Xenopus tropicalis: one gene and its partner. The protein of the gene in region 1 interacts with the protein of each later gene in a pairwise test. Links are inferred from orthologs where the notes say so. Each region holds a gene or a part of one and is shown on either strand. Other genes may lie near its edges. The genes, in order: atp6v1d and c9orf16.

Region 1 (4,483 bases):
GCTGAGAACAGTTGACTACGGTTACATTTTGCCAGCCAGATCAGCAGGAGAACAGGGGGCCAGGCTTAGGTAACGGTTCCAAAGGCTGCATATTTTTTTAATTGATGTATATTGCAAAGTTGCTTAAAATTAGGTTTACTTTTCAAAAGGATTAAATTGTGTTTGGATGGAGTTCCTCTTAAGGTGGCCACACACGTGGCGATTTCAGATCTTTTGGTCGCATGAAAGATCGTTCAATCGGCCACTAACGTTTTGGCCCTTATTTGGCTCCTCCGTGAACTTTTATGGTGCTTGTGTTGCTCTCCAAGTCTTTTTACATTTGACTGTGGCTCACGAGTAAGAAAGGTTGGGGACCCCTGTAATAGCCAGTTACTATTTATTGGGGATGTTTGGGCCTCTGTGTACTTCAAGTGCCAGCATCCACCAACTGCTGAGGGCTGCAGATTCAACAACAGCTGGCTGTCAGCAGGTTGAAAGCAATATAATCTGCACTGCTGGCTCTGACTCCTGAAACAATGTAGCACAAGCCAACAGGTAAACAAATCTAGAGGAGAACTGAATTCTGCTACAATGTTCCTACAGTCAGAACCAGAGAACAGTAAAGGCTAAACACTGCTTTAATTCCCGTTACATGTCCCAATAAGTTCAAGTTTCCTGACAATGTGCAATGAATGTAAACTAAGTTACTCAGAACATTATCTTTCATTATAGAAAACACACTTTCTTTTTTAAGGAGAATTCCCCTTTAACAAAGGCCCCAGCAGGGAGATGGTTCTGGGACAGCTAGAAGGCGAGATGTTACCCACCGTACATATACAGCAGCCATAGCACGTTTGTATAAGGGTGGGTAGATCGCTTTAACACGTTTTACAGGAATCTGCAGGGAATTCCCATCCAACTACAGTAGAACCACAACTCCCAGTGTCCCGCGCTAGCCTGTACAGATAGTTATAGAAGGGCGATTCCACGCCGCTAAAGCTCCACAGCAGAGCGGCCAAGGCGGCTATTAGAACAGATACATGAGTCGGAGCCTTACTTGGCTGATGTTCCCTACGATCAAACAGAACGTTGGCACCGGGCGGGCTCCTTCAGCTCACGCCGCACTATTTCATCAGCATGCGTTCCGGCAAAGAACAACACGCATGCGCAACCCCACAACTACAGCGCTGACACCGGAAGCGGAAGTCGGTGCTACCATTACGGGGTTAGGAGGTTACAGGGCGCCATATTGAAGATGGAACATTATCGCTTTAAAATGTTGTTTCGTGTAACTCATATCATATTAAAAAAGGAATACGAATAAAATATTCCGATGTGGGTGCAGAAACCCATAAAACGTCTGACAAGCTAATACAGTTCAAAACGCTCTTCGTGCGCAGGCGCAGCATTTTTCCGTCTGCTGCGGATCACATGACGAGAGATGTTCAGGTGACAGAACCACGCCCTCCCTTCCTGGATCACGTGACAATCTCTCGCTTTCTTGGTTCTGCCGCAGGAATCCGAGTGTCAGTGAGGGGAGAAGCAGATCGCAGGTCAAGATGTCGGGCAAGGACAGGATCGAGGTGTTCCCTTCCAGGATGTAAGTATGGTGATACGGTCAGATATACCCGTGATCGGGGGCTTGGGCATCTGCTGGCGTGGAATTCTGGGATCTGTAGTTCTGCAATAACTAGAGCCACAGATGTCCCTTGTTGGTTATAATCTTTTGGGGTATTTGTCAGTGGGGTTACAGGCAGGCAAATGGCTCATAGGGGTATGTGTTGATGGGGGGATCCCTGTAGTGTATAAAGATATATATAAAATAGATAGATAAATGTGTGTGTGTGATATTCACCCACTGGCTTGGGTTTAGGGTGGGATAGGAACAGATACTAGCAGCAAAGGCAAAGCATTCTGTGTAAGGGTTCAGCTGTTACCTGGGGCCCTTCAGCAACTCCCACTACCTTAATGGATATATAGATTGTAAGCTCTGCAGGGCAGGGACCTCCATCCTCTGTGTCTTTGACTCTTAACTTATTGCAACTGTATCTTGTATTTATCTGTATTTATTGTTATACTTTGTATTTATCTATTATTATTTTAATAACCCCGTTTGTATTAATGTATTCTACTGTACAGCGCTGCGTACATAAGTAGCACTTTATAAATAAAGATATACATACATGCAATGGCAGCTAAAGGCCATCAGTGGGATAGTGGGAGATGCAGTTCAGCAGAGGCCTGAGACATCCTAATTAATGATATACACCCTTTTCCATTTGGGGGGACCAGCACCCCTTGCCCCTGAGCGCCCAGCCATTGCTGCTAGTGAGCCCATGTTAGGCTGGGGGATATGGGAGCTGCTAGCCGGCTGCATAGTACTAGCCAAACCCATGCACTTGTGTCGGCTGGGGAGTGCGGCAGCCTCACTATATACGCACAGTTACACACTCACCCACACAGTTACACACTCACCCACACAGTTACACACTCACCCACACAGTTACACACTCACCCACACAGTTACACACTCACCCACACAGTTACACACTCACCCACACAGTTACACACTCACCCACACAGTTACACACTCACCCACACAGTTACACACTCACCCACACAGTTACACACTCACCCACACAGTTACACACTCACCCACACAGTTACACACTCACTCACACAGTTACACACTCACTCACACAGTTACACACTCACTCACACAGTTACACACTCACTCACACAGTTACACACTCACTCACACAGTTACACACTCACCCACACAGTTACACACTCACCCACACAGTTACACACTCACTCACACAGTTACACACTCACTCACACAGTTACACACTCACTCACACAGTTACACACTCACCCACACAGTTACACACTCACCCACACAGTTACACACTCACCCACACAGTTACACACTCACCCACACAGTTACACACTCACTCACACAGTTACACACTCACTCACACAGTTACACACTCACACAGTTACACACAGTTACACAGTTCACTTGCCTGTGTTTAGCCTGTACGTTCCCCTCCCTGCTCTGTGACTTCCTGAAACTTGTAGTTCCCTAATGGCAGGGAGAAGGTTGTGACTACACACACTGACCTTTCTGCTGATGAAAGGGGATACTGTAAATATGTCTGTGTATATATATATATTTTTTTTTCCTCTTCCCTATATACAGTTATTGCACATTTCCATTATTTCTCTCAGTCAGTCCTTTGCACTGCTGGTTCTGACTATTGAAACAAGCCACTCTTTTAATATATACTAATTCAGCGTCGCTGCTATATAGTCACATAACTAAAATTATATACAAGTAGGGAATCCCTTATCCGGAAACCTGTTATCCAGCCAGAAAGCTCTGAAATACAGAAAACCCGTCTCCCATAGACTCCATTTTAATCAAATAATTTCAAATTTTAAAACTGATTTTCTTTTTCTCTGTAATAATAAAACAGTACTTTGTAGTTGATCCCAACTAAGATATAATTAATCCTTATTGGATGCAAAACAATCCTATTGGGTTTAATTAATGTTTTAGTGATTTTTTGTAGACTTAAGTTATAGAGATTCAAATTACGGAAAGACCCCTTTTCCGGAATACAATTGGTCCTGAGCATTCTGGATAACGGGTCCTATACCTGTAGAATAAATAAGAGCCATGAATATCCTATGAACTACATCTATACAAACAGCGCTCAGTGGTGTCATTTCTGTCACACGACTCGCTGAAAGTTGTGTATTGTAATTAATAATGTACCCCCTCTTGTAAGATATGAGGATATTAGACGTCACCTCGGAGTTCCGTGACCTTAAAATATCCTTATGTTTGACAATACAGGGAGCTTTTATCACTATATAAATGCTATTTGTTGTTATTCAAGAGACAGAGACTCCTGCACTTTGGGGGGGAACTGCCCCCCCAGCCCCCACACATCATTATGTTCCTTGCCAGGAATGTGGCCAGTTTTGAGTTTTTGTCCGGGTGCTCAGTGTAAACAAGCGCTCTGTTTAGGCAACACTGCCTGGCAGCCAAGCAGGAATATACTGGCCCCGGGTTTGGTTCCAGCAAGGAAGGGATGGAGGGAACCGGTAGCAGTCACATTGGGACAAGGGAAAGTGTTTGGTTCACCTGGCTGCTGTGCTTTTCCATAGGCTGCAATAATAACCCCCCGCTGAGTATAACAATGGTGGCAATGCTATTGCTCTCTATGCAGAATGCCTCAGCTGAGCCAAGAAACATGGCAGCCCCCAGGCACAATGTAGGATGTTCATTTAGAAACATTTTGGCAGAGGTTCCTTATCCTGTGTGTGTGCAAAGCCCCCAGTGCTATTAAACTCTCCCAGCAACGCCATACAAAGGCCTAGGGATGTGTATGGCAGCTTCCCATGGGATAGTAAGGTGGGTGCCCGTGTCATTATTATTATTATTATTATTAGCATTTATTTATAAAGTGCCAACATATTCCGCAGCGCTGTACAA
Region 2 (4,588 bases), about 96 Mb from region 1:
TGGAACTGGGCATTTTTACCCACTGGCACTAAACAGCAATGGTCAAAGCCTGATATTTCTCCTAATAGTATTATATATAAAACACCCAGTAAAGCACTGACAAGTGGACCTTGGAGCCAGAACACTAACTGAAGCCCGCCAGTCACTGCTCCTTATTTGTACAACAAAGCACCCTTCAAACCAGCTATTCTACTCCTTGTTGGCAGCTTCCCCAGGCTGGGCAGCAGCTTCCAGGACTTCAGGATTCCATCCAATCAGCAAATAGGCTGGCCTGACAGGAAACTGCAGTTCAACTTCACCTGTGTAAATAAAGATCTTATATTGGCTAGCAACATTCTACTGTGCTTCTGGGGAGGGACTGTTAGAACATTGTCCAACAGCAACTGGTAATAGAGACAGACTTCATGTGGAGGAGCACCACAAACCAATCCATACAGACTGCTCTATCAGACCTGTGCATTCTGGGTCTTTGCATACACCGCCCACCAGCAATGCCAGTGACTAGCAGGCCAGTGCCCTGTGCCCTTCTGGGAGCCGCTGTGACGTTTAAGTACTTGGTAAATCCTGGTGCCTTAGCATCTCCATCCTCAGGAAGCACTGTAATTGGTTGCTCTTTAATCAACACAAACTAGAAAGTCACTCTGGGCAGGTTGCATTTCCAGATAGAATGCAAGGGAAATGTGGCGGCAGCATTGAAGGGGAGAAGGTGTCTCAGCTTTTGTTTTTGTGTTTTTTGCCTCTGTGGCTGGGAGACCGACACAGATATCCCCCCTGCCCTGCTTTACCCTAAATCTTGCCCTATCTCGTGCCTAGTGATGTCAGTTGAGTGACATCACTTGACACCAATTCTGACTGATGACATCACTAGGCACCATATAAGGATACATATTACACAGTGACAGAATACAGCCTTTTAGGTCCCCCACCATCCTTAGCATTCATCTGTCACAGCTACAAGGGCCCATAGGGGAAGAGGGGCCCTAGAGCAGTTGTACCCCCGTCCAGTAGTCCCACCAGTGACAATTCATGGCTCATGTATAACATATGTACATATAGTGTATGTTCCTACCTGCTGCTCCTCCTCTGCCCTCTGTTCCCCCAAGGAGGACTGGAGCGCCTGGAATACCCCCAGAGAGCCCCCCAGCACAAAGGCCAAACCCAGCAGCTTCCTAGTCCTTCTGTCTGAGTCCTTCCACCACCCACCGGCTCTAAAGCCCCTCACTACCGGGCAGGTGGGGCCAACTAATGGAAGGTTGCTCTTGCCCACTGCCCTATACAAGGGAAGGTGACTGCGAGTCCCCAGGCTCATGTGAGCCCTGGCACCCAGACCAGACACAATCAGGGACCCACCGCCTGATACCGAGGGGAAAGAAAGACACCGGCCGGTTTGCGCCGCCCCCATTACAACCCCTGTCAAGCGCTGAGGCAGCACAAGCCGCCTAGTGCTTGCCCCAAACAACCCGGCTGTGTACGCAGCCATCTTGCCTCTAGCTACGCCCCGCCCACTACATGCTAGCACCTCCGTACTAACCAGTCGGAAGCACCCTCTTGCGTTTCATTGGTTGCATCTCCGTGACGTCACGCATGCATTCCCAAGGTCACGGGGTTTGGGAGTGACGTGAGAAGGAGAGGTGGGAGCGAAATGTCTGGACCAAACGGGGATCCGGTGGTGCCGCTGGGAGAGGCGACAGGAGATGAAGGTTCGTCATAGTTAGCCATAGCCTGGGCTGGGGGCTCGGAAGGGTAACCCTGACCACATTCTCTCCACATGTTCCTACCGCTGCTTTTAATAGTGATCATCTTTCTAAACCTGACTGAGACGCAATGGCGCTTCTTATTTTACTTGCCCTTGTGGGACCCTATTTTGGCTTCTGTAGCCGTGGGGCTATTGGGGCAAATCTATCTGGGCTCTTTTTCCAGAGCAGTAACTCACAGGGTTCCTATTGGTCACCATTATAAAGGGGGCCTTTACACCAGGGAGAAGTTCTTAATGGTGGGTTTGGGGCTTTGTGACTTGCTGATCAAGGTGCTAGCCCGTCGATATCTCCACTGTATTCATATCATTGACTGTCAGGCAGTGTTAAGCTGGCCCACCAGGATACCAGGAAAACTCCCGGTGGGCCCAGGTATAAGTGGGCCCTCCTGCTCCTTACCATTTGGCCTGCTTTATGCTCATTTCCTATTTCTGAATGGGAACAAAGAGGAGAGACAGATGAAAGAATAGACACTAGCATGTAAATAAAAGAGACTAGGAGAATAAAGAGGTTGGTGAGCAAAAGGCGGAAACATTGTTTGGAAAGCGGGCCTATGGGCTAAGGGTTTTTGGTGGGCCCCTGGGTTCCCAGTCAGGCAACTGCTGTCCGGACACGCTGTAAGGTGTAGGATGGATAACTAAAAGCTTATACTGCCAGAGATCGGCCAGCGCACCAGATTCCCAGATCTGCAGGCCTTTGGGACATGGCAGTTGCGTGTGACGGCTGTACTTGCTGCCAGCCCAGCTGCTCCCCGACCTGGTATATAAATTGGAGTTGCAGGCCGGTCAGTTAGGGGTCTTAAAATGTTCGACCCTTGCATCACTATTTTGCAACCCATTAGCCAACTTTTGTAATATTGTTATAAAGGGAGGTGCACACAGTTCCTTATATCCCTGGTCATGGTTTGTAGGGTGCTGCTCATGATCAAAAACCTATTTGGGGGTGGGATAATGTAAAAAGTGCAGTTATAGGACTGTGGTCCTGCCAATATATAATGCATTTCCCTGATTTTACAGGGAATAATGCACTGAAATAGATATACACCGCACAGTTCTCAAGAATAAGGGGAAAGTGTTAGTAGGGGTTAGATGTTTGGAAATAGAGGGACCGGCCCCCTCGCCCTGCAGGTCTACTATAATGTAATATAATGCCAGTCATGCTTATACAGGGTGATTCTCAATAAGTTTGACACCATTTTTTTTTTTGTTTCCTGAAAACCATAAAATGGAGGTTAGACCTGCAGGGCGAGGGGGAGGTTAGTACATTGGACCCTAGCAACCAGACAGCTGCTCAACATTACTTTAAGGGTAGGCTACCCCTTAGCAGTGCACTACTAACCACTGTGTATTCCCTGTAGATTACGCAGCCTTGGACTTTATGTTGGATCAGATCAATTTCTGCCTGGATCACTTAGAGGAGAAAAATGACCAATTGCATGCACAGCTTCAGGAGTTGCTGGAATCCAACCGCCAGGCCCGGAGGGACTTCCAAATGCAGATACATCAGGATCTGACAAACAGTCCAGACGGGGAGCATTCAGACACGTAACCCACCACCCCGAGCACAAAGGACATCCAAGACGTGGCCAGACTTTCTAGCACAGTGACCACTCTGTAGTCTCTATAAGGTATTCAGATCCCACACAATAAGAGGCACCAGTGCCCGGTCCCTATTGGGAATATTGCATTATTTTATTTGACACAGTGGGGCGGAGTAAAAAAAAAAAAAAACTAAAGAATTACAAGTTTAAAAAAGAAACTGTGTTTTGGGCTGTTGTATGATTGAGCATGCAAAGCAGCCTGTGCTGTCACTGTTGTAGGAAACTGATCTCCTCCTCGCATCTTTATCCCCTTAGGTTCCCCTTTAAAAGGGAAAGACGTACAACTTACACTTGTTAAAATGTTGTCTCTGATGTTGTTTCAGTACTAAATATAGCAGCCAAGCGCTAAGTGATAGCAAGAGGCCTCAGCAATCAATTTATTTATGTTAGTCGTGGAACTTGACCGTTAAAAAAAAGACAACCCATTCCTGTTCTTTGAAACATAGCAATGCACTAATGGGCAGAATTGGACCAATTGCAGTTGCACATGATTATGTTAGTACTGTGTAATTGTGAGCAGTGCCCCCAGGGCGGCGCTGTGTTATTTTCTTTCCAGGGAATTATAAGAATAAAGATCCCTGAATAAAAAGCTGTGCATTTTCTTTTAACACTGTAAGGGGGGCAACAAAGCACCAGGGCTCGCCTGAGCATGCCACGTTGATGAATTTGGACACAAAAGTGTGACCGATTAACGTTTAGTATTTTATACAATGTCCAGTTATTAGCAACTTGTCAGTTGATCTTGTTTTACCATTTCTGCATTATTTAACTTCTTCTGACACTCTCCAGCTTTCAGGGGTTACTGACCCCAGCAGCCACGCAACCATTGTTCTTTCAGTTTTACAGTTTTTTAGTTGCTACAGTTTTATCGTTATTGCTGCTGTTTATTACTTATCTTTCTAATCAGTATCCCCCTTTCTATTCATATTCCAGTCTTTCATTCATGCCACTGCCTTGTTGTCAGGGTAAATGGGACCCTAGCAACCAAAGAGCTGCTAAACAAAAGCTAATTAAAAAAACATAAAAAATGAAGACCAATTTTAATGAAATTCATCTCGAAATATCATTCCATCATACTAAAAGAGAAAGGTGAATTACCCTTTTAGGTTAAATGTTAATATGTTATAGAAAGGGCCACTGTTAAATTGATGTGTGTTGGGGGTCCCTCCACAGCCAATAAGCCTACCGCTGTGTCAAGCTACAACTTTATTCCTATTCAATTCATCTTCTCCAG

The links.
Region 2: the proteins of atp6v1d (region 1) and c9orf16 interact in binary tests that used the Homo sapiens proteins (3 or more experiments, as listed by UniProt). The two-hybrid records come from large-scale screens. The link is inferred for Xenopus tropicalis from reciprocal best matches to the Homo sapiens genes ATP6V1D and BBLN.

The regions. Positions count from the first base shown.
Region 1 is NC_030684.2:119,233,115-119,237,597, forward strand, and holds the start of atp6v1d (V-type proton ATPase subunit D), read left to right. Parts: upstream 1-1,520; 5' UTR 1,521-1,538; coding exon 1,539-1,579; intron 1,580-4,483. UniProt on the Homo sapiens protein: Subunit of the V1 complex of vacuolar(H+)-ATPase (V-ATPase), a multisubunit enzyme composed of a peripheral complex (V1) that hydrolyzes ATP and a membrane integral complex (V0) that translocates protons.
Region 2 is NC_030684.2:22,809,737-22,814,324, reverse strand, and holds c9orf16 (UPF0184 protein C9orf16 homolog), read left to right. Parts: upstream 1-1,558; 5' UTR 1,559-1,642; coding exon 1,643-1,700; intron 1,701-3,111; coding exon 3,112-3,302; 3' UTR 3,303-3,943; downstream 3,944-4,588. Other genes in the region: ptges2 (prostaglandin E synthase 2), read right to left, coding at 1,070-1,480. UniProt on the Homo sapiens protein: Essential for intermediate filament organization in intestinal cells, interacts with intermediate filament and regulates intestinal lumen morphology.